Cricetulus griseus: one gene and its partners. The protein of the gene in region 1 purifies or fractionates together with the protein of each later gene. This does not show direct contact. Links are inferred from orthologs where the notes say so. Each region holds a gene or a part of one and is shown on either strand. Other genes may lie near its edges. The genes, in order: Cd151, Itga3 and Itga6.

The links.
Region 2: the proteins of Cd151 (region 1) and Itga3 purify together in Homo sapiens (co-immunoprecipitation; 4 studies listed by BioGRID and IntAct, with this or other methods). This does not show direct contact. The link is inferred for Cricetulus griseus from reciprocal best matches to the Homo sapiens genes CD151 and ITGA3.
Region 3: the proteins of Cd151 (region 1) and Itga6 purify together in Homo sapiens (co-immunoprecipitation; 3 studies listed by BioGRID and IntAct, with this or other methods). This does not show direct contact. The link is inferred for Cricetulus griseus from reciprocal best matches to the Homo sapiens genes CD151 and ITGA6.

The regions. Positions count from the first base shown.
Region 1 is NC_048596.1:59,713,076-59,715,275, forward strand, and holds the end of Cd151 (CD151 antigen), read right to left. Parts: intron 2,012-2,200; coding exon 1,907-2,011; intron 1,821-1,906; coding exon 1,662-1,820; intron 1,536-1,661; coding exon 1,449-1,535; intron 1,366-1,448; coding exon 1,306-1,365; 3' UTR 595-1,305; downstream 1-594. UniProt on the Homo sapiens protein: Structural component of specialized membrane microdomains known as tetraspanin-enriched microdomains (TERMs), which act as platforms for receptor clustering and signaling.
Region 2 is NC_048600.1:108,238,876-108,242,526, forward strand, and holds part of Itga3 (integrin alpha-3), read right to left. Parts: coding exon 3,560-3,651; intron 3,108-3,559; coding exon 2,911-3,107; intron 1,560-2,910; coding exon 1,471-1,559; intron 1,372-1,470; coding exon 1,235-1,371; intron 1,067-1,234; coding exon 980-1,066; intron 141-979; coding exon 73-140; intron 1-72.
Region 3 is NC_048599.1:103,379,713-103,384,115, reverse strand, and holds the start of Itga6 (integrin alpha-6), read left to right. Parts: upstream 1-1,591; 5' UTR 1,592-1,818; coding exon 1,819-2,000; intron 2,001-4,403. UniProt on the Homo sapiens protein: Integrin alpha-6/beta-1 (ITGA6:ITGB1) is a receptor for laminin on platelets. Integrin alpha-6/beta-1 (ITGA6:ITGB1) is present in oocytes and is involved in sperm-egg fusion.

The DNA of each region.
Region 1 (2,200 bases):
CTACACAGAAAATCCTGTCTCAAAAAAAACAAAAAAGAAACCTACTCGAGGCCCATTTAAGGCTCTGGTTCCTAGGTAGTTGCAGTAAATATCTCAGGGTTCTTTTTTTAGCACATTGATCCCACTGAGATTTTTGTTGTTCTGGGTTTTTGGTTTTGTTTGACTGGTCTGAAACTCAGCAATCTGCCTGCTTCTCCTCCCTCTCTTGAGTGCTGGGATTAAAATGAATCGCATGCACACACCCACGCTAGTTTTTAAAGAGGAGAAAGTTTTGCCTTAGACTGGAGTCAGGGGGCCCCTAGGACTCCATTCCTCCAGCTAAACTAAACAGCATAGGACTACTGGGGACAGAGAATCAGCTCTTATATTTTTGGTTGTGAGCCTAGCCTTTAATGGCTGAGCCCAAGAATGAGCTCTTAAGGTACATTCTGAATATGAGCAATCCTTTGCCTGGCCAAATCCAGGCCACAGTGAGCTGGAGGCTCACCAGCTACCAGAGGTCAGCCTAGCTGCCCTGCTACTAGGCTTCCCCATCTTTGACTCTTACGAGTACTCCAGCTACCCTGGACCCTAAGGTCCTGTCAGCAAACTGACTCAACTGTTCATATATTTATTGAGCACCTGTTACAAAGCAGGAGCATGTGTGGGCATCAGGGTTACAACAGTGGATGGAAACAGCCATACCCCCGTTCAGAGATGTTCCAAAAGGAGACAGTATATAGGAACATGGGGCATTTGCACAGTGTTATCAGAAGTGGGGGAGAGCCAGGGCTGAGGATGTTAGGAGCAAGAGAAGCCTGGATGGAAAGGACGGCATATACAGTGAGTGGGGTTGGAGTTCCCCTCGGGTTGCCCCATTGCTTTGGAGCAAGCACATCTGAGTGTTCCCAGCAGCAGGCATGAAAGGTACCTAGACCACCCAGAATGGCCTTTCCCACCTGCTTCTACCCACCATGCAAGTGGTAAACCCATGTTCTCCCCCAACACTTAATGCAAATCACAGCTACCCAAGGAAAGTAGCCTGTGGGCAAGAGGCACTTTTGTCAAATAATCTAAACCCAATTCTACCAGGTAGGCCTAGCCCAACACTGGCATACCTGCCCCCTCTTATCCTGGGGCAAGTACATTGCCTCAAGCCTTGGTACTTTGGTATGCAGTGAAAGGCACTTGAAGCTACCCCTGAGGTGGGGTTGTAGTGATGGCATGAGGACAGCTACCTCTCTGGCAGTCAGCAGTCTAACTCAGTAGTACTTCGTAGTGGGGTGGGACATAGTGCAAGGCTGGCAGCCTGGCCTGGCACCATGGTCAGTAGTGTTCCAACTTGAGGCTTCTGTATAAGCAGCAGGTGAAGATCATGCCGAAGACCTGCATGGGACCAGGCTGGTGTAAAAAGGCTGTGGGCCACCAGCCACCCCAGTGTTCCCACCTAGTCACCTCTGTTTCCATACCTGTACACAGGCGATGCCGATGCCCACAGCCCCAATGACCCGCAGGTGCTCCTGAATGAAGGTCTCCAGCTTACTGATACAGCCACCCTAGTGGGGAGAGAGTGGTGGACCTTGCTGGCTCCCATATGCAGCCCTATTGGACCAGGCTGCCCTAAGATGTAGCCAGACCGGAGACACCCAATCAGTCTAGCCCTTTGCTCAGCACCCACCTACCTCCACTTTATAGATGTTGGAGGCATGGTCCCGCCTACCACAGCCAGGTACCACAGTCTTACAGCAGCTGTCAGGAACCACACGGTTTTCTGCCTCACCAGAGCGGATCCATTCACTGTCTCTCCAGTCTTGAGAGTTGTTGCTGCCACAACAGTGGAACTGCAAGGGGGTATGTGGCTGAGCCCTACAGCCTGCCAACATATAGCTCCATACTGGGAAAGTGGAGAGTTATAGGGGACACCCACCTCTTGCTGTAGCTTATCTACAGCATTAGTCACACCCTTGTGGCCTGACTGGTGGTATTTCTTGGTCATGGTGTCCTTGAGATTCTCCTTGAGCTCTGTGTTCAGCTGTGGGTAGGATCAAAGTCTAAGACCCCCAAGGGCAAAACTAGAGTCAGGACCCCCAGTGGGACTGACAAGACTAGAAGAGCCACCAAGTGGGCAAGCAAATGAGTGACACTGTCAACCCCATGCATACCTGCCTCCCCATAAGTCCCAAAGCAGCCCTGGGATCCACCTGCCTGTGTGCACACCTGT
Region 2 (3,651 bases), on another chromosome or scaffold:
CAGTCAGCAGGAGCCAGGTGAGCATCTTCCCACCATCCTTCCCACACGAGCACCCTGTGCCCAGCAACTCACTGATGTTCCGCCTGTAGTTGGGGTTCCCAGCACTCTGGTTGTAGGCAAAGCACAGCTCCACCTGAACACTGTTGGGGGTACGCATAGCAGGGCCTGGTCACAGTGGGAGGGACAGCCATGTCCTACTTTTCACTCTTATGCTAGACAAAGGGAACTCAGGACCCTTGTGGGGGAAAGGTGGGAGCAAAACTGGGGAGTCTACCAAGCTGTGGTGACGTCTCAGTTTTTAGAGGTCACTTGTGAGGAAACTGAGGTCCAGGGAGCAGGATTTGTCTGATGTTATCAGGCAACTGATGGCCCAGCCCAGGGTCTTACTTATGTCACCCATCCCCTGCTTTTCAGCTCAGTAGTCCCCTTTGCTATCAGACTGGTATCCACTAAAAGCCCTCAGGGTCACTACGATCTTTATCACTTTCTTCACAACTGTTTTTTGGACACTTAGGTACAGAGTACTGTGCTCAGGGCTTTTTTGTATATTATCTCATTTAATTATCTCAAGAACTCTGTGAATTGGTTATTACCTTTTATATGTTATCTGAGACTCCGGCTAATTATTTGCCCAGGGTGAGTCTCCTTCCCCACACCCATCTATGTAAGAGCATTCCTTTCCCCCTTCCTTTCAGCCCTCCCTCCCCAGAGTCCTCCCTGCTCTCCCCCAGCAATGAGTGGCTCGGCTTTGAGCCAGATGGTCCAGAGCTTCTGTTCCTAACCTTGTGCACACACTTTAGCTCCTGCAAGGAACTTTGACTTTAAAAGACATTGGTGAGGAAAGGTATTGCTGGCCCTAGACTCCAACTGCGGATGGTGGGACATCAGGAGTATCCAGGGGAAGGGCTTAGGGCCTGAGGCCTTGCTGGGCTGCCGAGACATGAGGAGTGGGTGGGAAGAACTGGGCTGACAGTCTCACCAGGAGGTAGCTGTACAAAGTGAGGGGTCCAACACAGGTGGCCTGGCCACCAAGCTCCTTTGGAGAATATTGATGACAGGTCGGGCCCTGTAGCAACAAGAAAGCAGGCAGGTGTTAGTATTTCCTGCCTACCTTTGGCCAGGGCTGGATTTCAGGTTTCTGTGGATCACTGCAGAAGGTGGGCAGGGCTGAGGCTCCGTGAAGATGAGGACGGAGGAGGGACGCGCCCCTGCCCACCGCAGTCTCCTAGCTCACCGCAGCAGCACAATGTGGTCCGACAGGCTCCCGACTAGCAGGTCTGGATACGAGTTGTCATCTACATCCATCTTCCCACTCAGAGAGTAGCCAAAGGTGGACAAGCCAGGCAGTCCTAGTTTGTCAGCGTGGACTATCTGAAGCCAAGAGGAAGTGATAGGGACAGGCTCTGAGACATGCTTGGAGGAGGAGGCCCCGGGGATAGGGGTATCAGACTCACCACCATGCATTCATACCTGCTGGGGCTGCCTGAGGAGGCCCCCGGAGCTGCTGTGGTAGATGTATACCCTGCCCAAGCCTTCAAATGGAGCTCCCACAGCGATGTCTGGGGAGGAAAGACAAAGCAGTCACCAGGCATTCCTGGTCCCCTAGCTCTTTCACTCTCTGCTGCAGGCCACCGAGCCCAGCGTGGCAGTGACCTCACCCTGGCAAAAGTGTTCCGAGCAACAGCGAACGTCACAGCTTCAGAGCTGTGGTGGCAATGGAGGTTGGGGAAAGGGGAAGAAACTTCCTCAAAGTCAGACAGCAGAGCTGTGCCCCACATTTCCCAACATAACCCAGTTTCCATTTTTTCCTGTCATCCCATCCCCCATTTCTCCAGACACCTTGGTTCTAATGACATTTTCTATCAAGACCAGAAAAGAAGCCACTCTCCTTCGATCACTGCTAGCACTCAGCATCCATTTCACTTAAGCCTTACAGGATGCTGTGGGAGTATCTACTATTATTTATCCCCTTTATAAATGAGCAAATCCCAAGGTCACACAGCCAGGAAACTGGATTATAACTACAATACTACATTGCACTTTGTTCAGTATAATGTCAAGGTTTTTAAAAGGCTAGGCAATGTTTCCTCAAGCTCAACACATTTGGCGATCTCAATCTTTGTGGACTGGTCTGCTACATTTGATCTGAGAAGGCCTGGGTAACTGTAAAGGAAGTCAGGGAGAGTAAATGGACCCTAACCTGAAAACACTGACCCTTCTGTGGGAAGTGCTTGGGCCCTTTGGCTGACCTTTCTGGCGTCCATTTCTGCCTCTTAAGAGCCTCTGCCTTTCCTTTGGTTCTCAGCTGTGTTCTGGGAGACTCGGGTTGTCAGAGAACTGACGTTTGGTAAGCTAAGTGCTCCCTCAGGAAACCGGCTCATACCCTAACGTGTCCTCCCTGTGACTTCTCCCCGGGTCCTGCAGAGCACCTGCAAGGCAATGCCACTAAGGGTCCCTCCTTGTTCCATCCCATTCTCATCACCTGATATGGTACATCCCTGATTCCACCTCCCTAGGTTTCCCTCCCACAACCCCCCAGAATCACCCTCCAAAGTATCAAGCCTTCAGATAAAATGCCTGCCCCAACAATTTCTCTGGATACCTCCCCACCCTACTCTCCCTATGACCCAGATAGAAAAGCCCCATTTACTCTGCCCGGCTTTCAGAGCATTCGCCAGCCTGTCCCCAGTGTGCACTTACATTGCAAGTTCCTATACTCATGCCCATGCTATTTGTGCCTCTCTTCTGTGCACTCTCAGCCCAACCACTTATCACCCACTCTAGGCGAGCCTCTGTAGCATCCTCTGCACGTCCTGCCTCGTGTCCCTTTGAGCTGTGAGTCCTGTTAAGCCTGGGGTGCACTTGGTACTCAGTCAGTGAGGGTGCTGAAGGAGGGGCACAGGCTCATACCCTGGAATCCATCCTGGTTGATGTCACCAATGCTGGCTATAGAGATGCCAAAGGCAGAGCGACTGGGGCCATGAAGCAGGAGGGAAGGTTGATCTGGGAAGGACGTGCCTGCCTGGTTCATGAAGACATAGACAGCACCCCCTACCTCCTCTTTCCGTTCAAAGTAGTAGGGTGCACCCACCAGGAGGTCCTGCCACCTGCACAAGAGAAGAATGGGATGGGAGTGTGAGGTTGGCCCCAGATAAACAACATAACTGTCATTTAATGACCATGATTTTGCCAGGGCCATGCAACTGAGCAAATGACACACCTGACCACAGGCCACGAGAAGGCCAACAGGACCCACCAAATAGAAAACTCATGTCATGGAGAAATCATGCAGGCAGACATCACACCCAAAAAAGATCCTCCTGCCCCATTGGCACCTTACGAATGATAGGCATGAATGGCAGGTAGAGACAAGCAAGCACGGGGGTCATGCAAATGACATGCAAATATCCAGACTCCCAGAAAGTGTGATTGCAAGACCCTGAAAACAGCAAATGTGTGACTGCAAAGCTACTACTTCTCTGACCGAGCTTGAGCAAGCCTGCTACCCCCCCTTTCCCCCTGGCCCCAGAGGGTATATCCCATGTCCTTAGATTCTTACCCATCATTGTTCAGGTCTGCCAGAGCAATGGCGCTGCCAAAATAAGCGCCCACCTGCGTGCCCTCCAGCACCTGCTTCCTCTTCAGGTCTCC
Region 3 (4,403 bases), on another chromosome or scaffold:
GATGACATCTTCCCTGTCATAATAATGGACTGAACCTCTGAAATTGTAAGTGAGCCACCCCAATTGAATGTTTTCTTTATAAAATACCTGCTGTGGTTATGGTGTTTCTTCACAGCAATAAAAACCTGAGACACCAACTAACCGTGAGATATTAAATAAACAAAATTTTTATTTGGCAAGTATATAGTAAAACTAAAACTATTTTGAATTATTCAAGTACAGAAAATCCTGTGTGTGTGTGTGTGTGTGTGTGTGTGTGTGTGTGTGGTTTTTCAAGACAGGGTTTCTCTGTGTAGCCCTAGCTGTCCTGAAACTCACTCTGTAGACCAGGCTGGCCTCAAACTCATCAGGGATCCACCTGCCTCTGTCTCCCTACTGCTGGAATTAAAGATGTGCACCACCATTGCCCAGCCAACATATGTTTTTTTTTTTTTAGAAGAAAACCAATTATATTTTTAAAAATCTCAAAAAGTTAACATTTTTTTGCTATAGTAATATATTGTTGCTTCTTTATTGACATACATTAAGATCTAGCAGAGGGTTAAATGATAACAACTGTAATTTGAGACATGTGGAACAACCAAATGTCCTGGAGAAAACAATATTTTCTTTTGATGATTGGATTTTTGATACATATTCTCCTGCCTTTGTGGTTTTCTGCCAACATCATAATGAGAAAAAGTGCTAAATGTCAGAGGGTAATAAAAATGGGCACACCTTTAATTCCAGCCAGCAGGTGAATCGAGCCCAGCCTGGTCTACAGAGCTAGTTCCAGGACAGCTAGGGCTGTTACACAGAGAAACACTGGGGGTGGGGGGAGGGACGCACTAAAATGTACATTATTTTGTTCTCAGTCAAGTTCTGCATGTCCCTGAAACAAGTTTTTCTATCCTAAAATAAGGATGCCTCAAAAATCAACACCTTCCTGGAAGCCCCACCCTCTGCCCAGATGGCACAGCCTTCAAGCCACCCACATGGACCTAAGAGCATCTCTAGGTAGTTCTCCTTCTAACTAAACCAGGAAATTTGGGTAAGTAAACGGGACAATAGCCGAACTCCAGGCCCCCACATCGAAGGACTCAGAGTCAGTCAGCAAGTTTGAGTTTCTATTTTGCCAAAAGAATACCACTTCCTAAGATTGAACAAAATAGACGGCTGTGATTTTTTTTTTTTTTTTTTTTTTTTTTTTTTTTTAAGTAGCACAGCACTATCGAAGTCTGCTAGTGCCACGTTTTCGACGCTTGGGTCCATGGGGAGCCAGCAAGTATGTGGCTCCAATCCATCCTCAAGAGCTGGGCATGGTTAGGTGCATCTTGAACCCCTGCAGAATGGATGAGCCAAGTAAGACTGTGCACATCGGCCCAAGCTCCGAGAACTGTCGGCTTCAGGCGCCCTGGACCGCACTTCGGTGACAGGTAGGAAGACGCCTGAGTAGCATTCCTGGGCTCCCGGACGCAGGGGGCGCTTCCGGGCAGGTGGCGGGACGGTGGGAGGGCGGCTGCGGGGCGGGACCAGCAAGAAGGTGCCCTAGGCGGGCCGGGCCTCGGGCGGGGCGGGGCGGGGCGGGGCCGGCGCCCTCGTCACTTGATAAAACGCCTGAGAGTCTCTAGAGAACAACGGGCTCATTGAGCGGCTGCGAGTTGCAGGCGTGGGGGAGCGGCTGGACAGAGAGCGCGAGCCGGCCGGGGGTGGGGCCGCTCGCAGGGGCGACCGAGGCTAAGTGGCCGCAGAGGCGCGCCAGGCAGCCCGGCCCCGGCCCCGAGCCCGCGCGCACGGTGGCTGCAGCAGCTCCTCGCGTCCCTCCCATCGCGTGCGCCCATGGCGGTCGCGGGCCAGTTGTGCCTGCTCTACCTGTCCGCAGGGCTTCTGGCCCGTCTGGGCGCAGCCTTCAACCTGGACACCCGTGAGGACAACGTGATCCGGAAATCGGGGGATCCCGGGAGCCTCTTCGGCTTCTCGCTCGCCATGCACCGGCAGCTGCAGCCGGAGGACAAGCGGCTGTGAGTTCCCCGGCTCTTCCCACCCCAACCCAGGCGCCGTGCTGCGCCAGGGGGAGCGAGGGCGCGCCCTACTGCCGCCCGTCCCGCTTGCCCAGAGCCCATTCGCCGGCCAGCCCTGCCTGGCCCTGCCCTGCCCTGCCCTGCCCTGCCCGCCTGCACTTCTCCGGCCCAAGACTTGCAGGGCCGGGCCAGCCGCGTCCTCGGCGCCCTGCGCCCTGCGCCTCCGAGGAGCGAGGAGAACCGTGGGGAGACCCCAGGCCCTGTCTCGGGACCCCCCCCGCCCCCACCCCAGTGCTTTCCGCGGTTCTTCTCTCCTGGCTTATTTTGCACGGACCCCGGCAGGTGGCACGCTTTGCTGAGCCTCACGTGCGCCGGGGACGGTGATGGGACGTTGGGTTGCGGGAAGTCTTTCAGGGAGATCCAGGCCTTTCTCAAACTCTCCGATCCTCCTGTCCCCTCCCTGGCTCGCGCGCCCCGCGGAAGTTGGGAAGCCACTTTTAGCTGTTGTGTTACTTTCTCTGCAGAGTGGGATCCCCTACTTTCACTGGCTTTTAAAAAAGCACCTGTTCCGCAAGGCTAGATCAGCTGTGAAAAAAGCTGCTTCAGCGGTGTGCTAGCTCCCCCTCTCAGCTCCCTGATCCTTCGCAACACCCAATAATTCATGGCCCCCAGTACTGGGTGAGCTCCACCGAGGAGTTAGACCACAGTGACCCATCTGAGCAGGGCCTTAGCAAAGAAGGTTCGGAAGTGACAATCATCCCCCACTAGGGCTTCTTCCAGAAGAAAGCGACTGGTTCTCCCTTTTAAACAGTGTTGGCTCCCACATGACCCAGTTCTTTTGATCAAGGAAGATTTTCTGGAGCTTGGTTGCCTCAGTCGCTGTGGGGCTGCATTCTTGATCCATGCTCCCGAAGCCCTTTATAACAACAAAAGATCCTCCTCCCTTCCCAGGCCTTGAGTTGAACCCAGGTCCTTCCAGGACCAGCAGAGCGGAGAGGGCAGTGTGCAGTCAAGGGGGAGGGAGAGGCCAATATAATTTTAACCTAGAGACAACCCCGATTTCAGATAGTTAACAACTTTGAATTTTATGCATATTGTGGACTTCTGAATCTTAAGGTCAGGTTTTTCTGACGACACCTGCTAGGTGAAGCAGAGAAATCTACTGCGGGTGGGATGGTCCCAGGCAGGGATAGGGTCTGAGTCTACTTTCTCTCGGAAATAATTGTTGGTGAGCTGTAAATCTGAAGTGAAAGGTTTTTTTTTTTTTTCTTTCTTTAACCCAATGGATAACATTTCGTGTCTGAAAACACTGTGTGACAGACACACATTACCCACATGGAGGATTTGCTCTTGTTAGTGTAGAAGTGATTGTGGGCCAACAGAGGGACAATTTCCCTGTATCAGAGACCACAGAGACTGGCTTCCAAGTAGACATTGCAATGGGGAATAAGTGGAGCAAGAAATGTCCTTGGGATGGAGATTGCAAATTGCGCCTTTAGCCAGGAGTCTCTGTTGTCATCAAGGCAGCAGCCCTGGGCCTGCTAAAACTTGTCACTGCTGCTGGGCTGCTCTGCTATTTATTACAGCTGCTACAGGTCCTCTTGAGGCTGAGGCCCGGGACACCTTCTACAAACTCCATGGAGGCTTGTAGAAGGCAGTAGTTGGGCAGACCCTCAGCTGAGACCCACAGTAAGGGAATCTGTGTTATAGCCTAGAACCCAAAACTGTAGCTCAGGAAGCTGTGAATTCTGTCTAGTACCTCTCACCTGTCAAAGCATCCCAGGTTCAAGAGTAGCATAGACTGTCTAAGGAGACTCAGCATACACAGCCCACATCACCCCCATTGACTGACGGCTCACTGGATTCAGTTTCCAAATTCATTGGGAAGATCTCAGGGGACTAGGGGGTGGGGCTGGGGTGGGAGAGATGTGGAAAGCTGAATTTAGTTTCCTCTTGGCCATTTATGCTGCCGCTATTCATTTGCTTTAAGCTGTGGTTTCTTCACTTGTAGAGTGGAGATGTTTCTGCTTCCTTGGGTTGTTGTGAAGATTAAAAGAGCATGCAAACTGCTCAGTGTCTTCCCCCCTCCCCTCACCATGGACACCTGCTGGTTAAATGGGAAATGTTGATGGTGATGCATTTAAAAGTAGAAATTGTGGGCCTACTATGATAGATAGGTGCCTGGCACTACATAGCATTTGTGATTCTCAGACTGCCTCACATTAAAACCAAAGGCCCTTGCTTGGGTAATTAATATCCTAAACTCTTGGTCGCATTTATGAACTCCAAAGCAACTTAATTTACCTCAGGCTTCAAGTCATTGCAGAAGCAAACTTCCTGAACAGTGTCTTTGAGACAGAAGGTATGTGGGAATATCAGATAAATGCATGGTTACAGAAAACC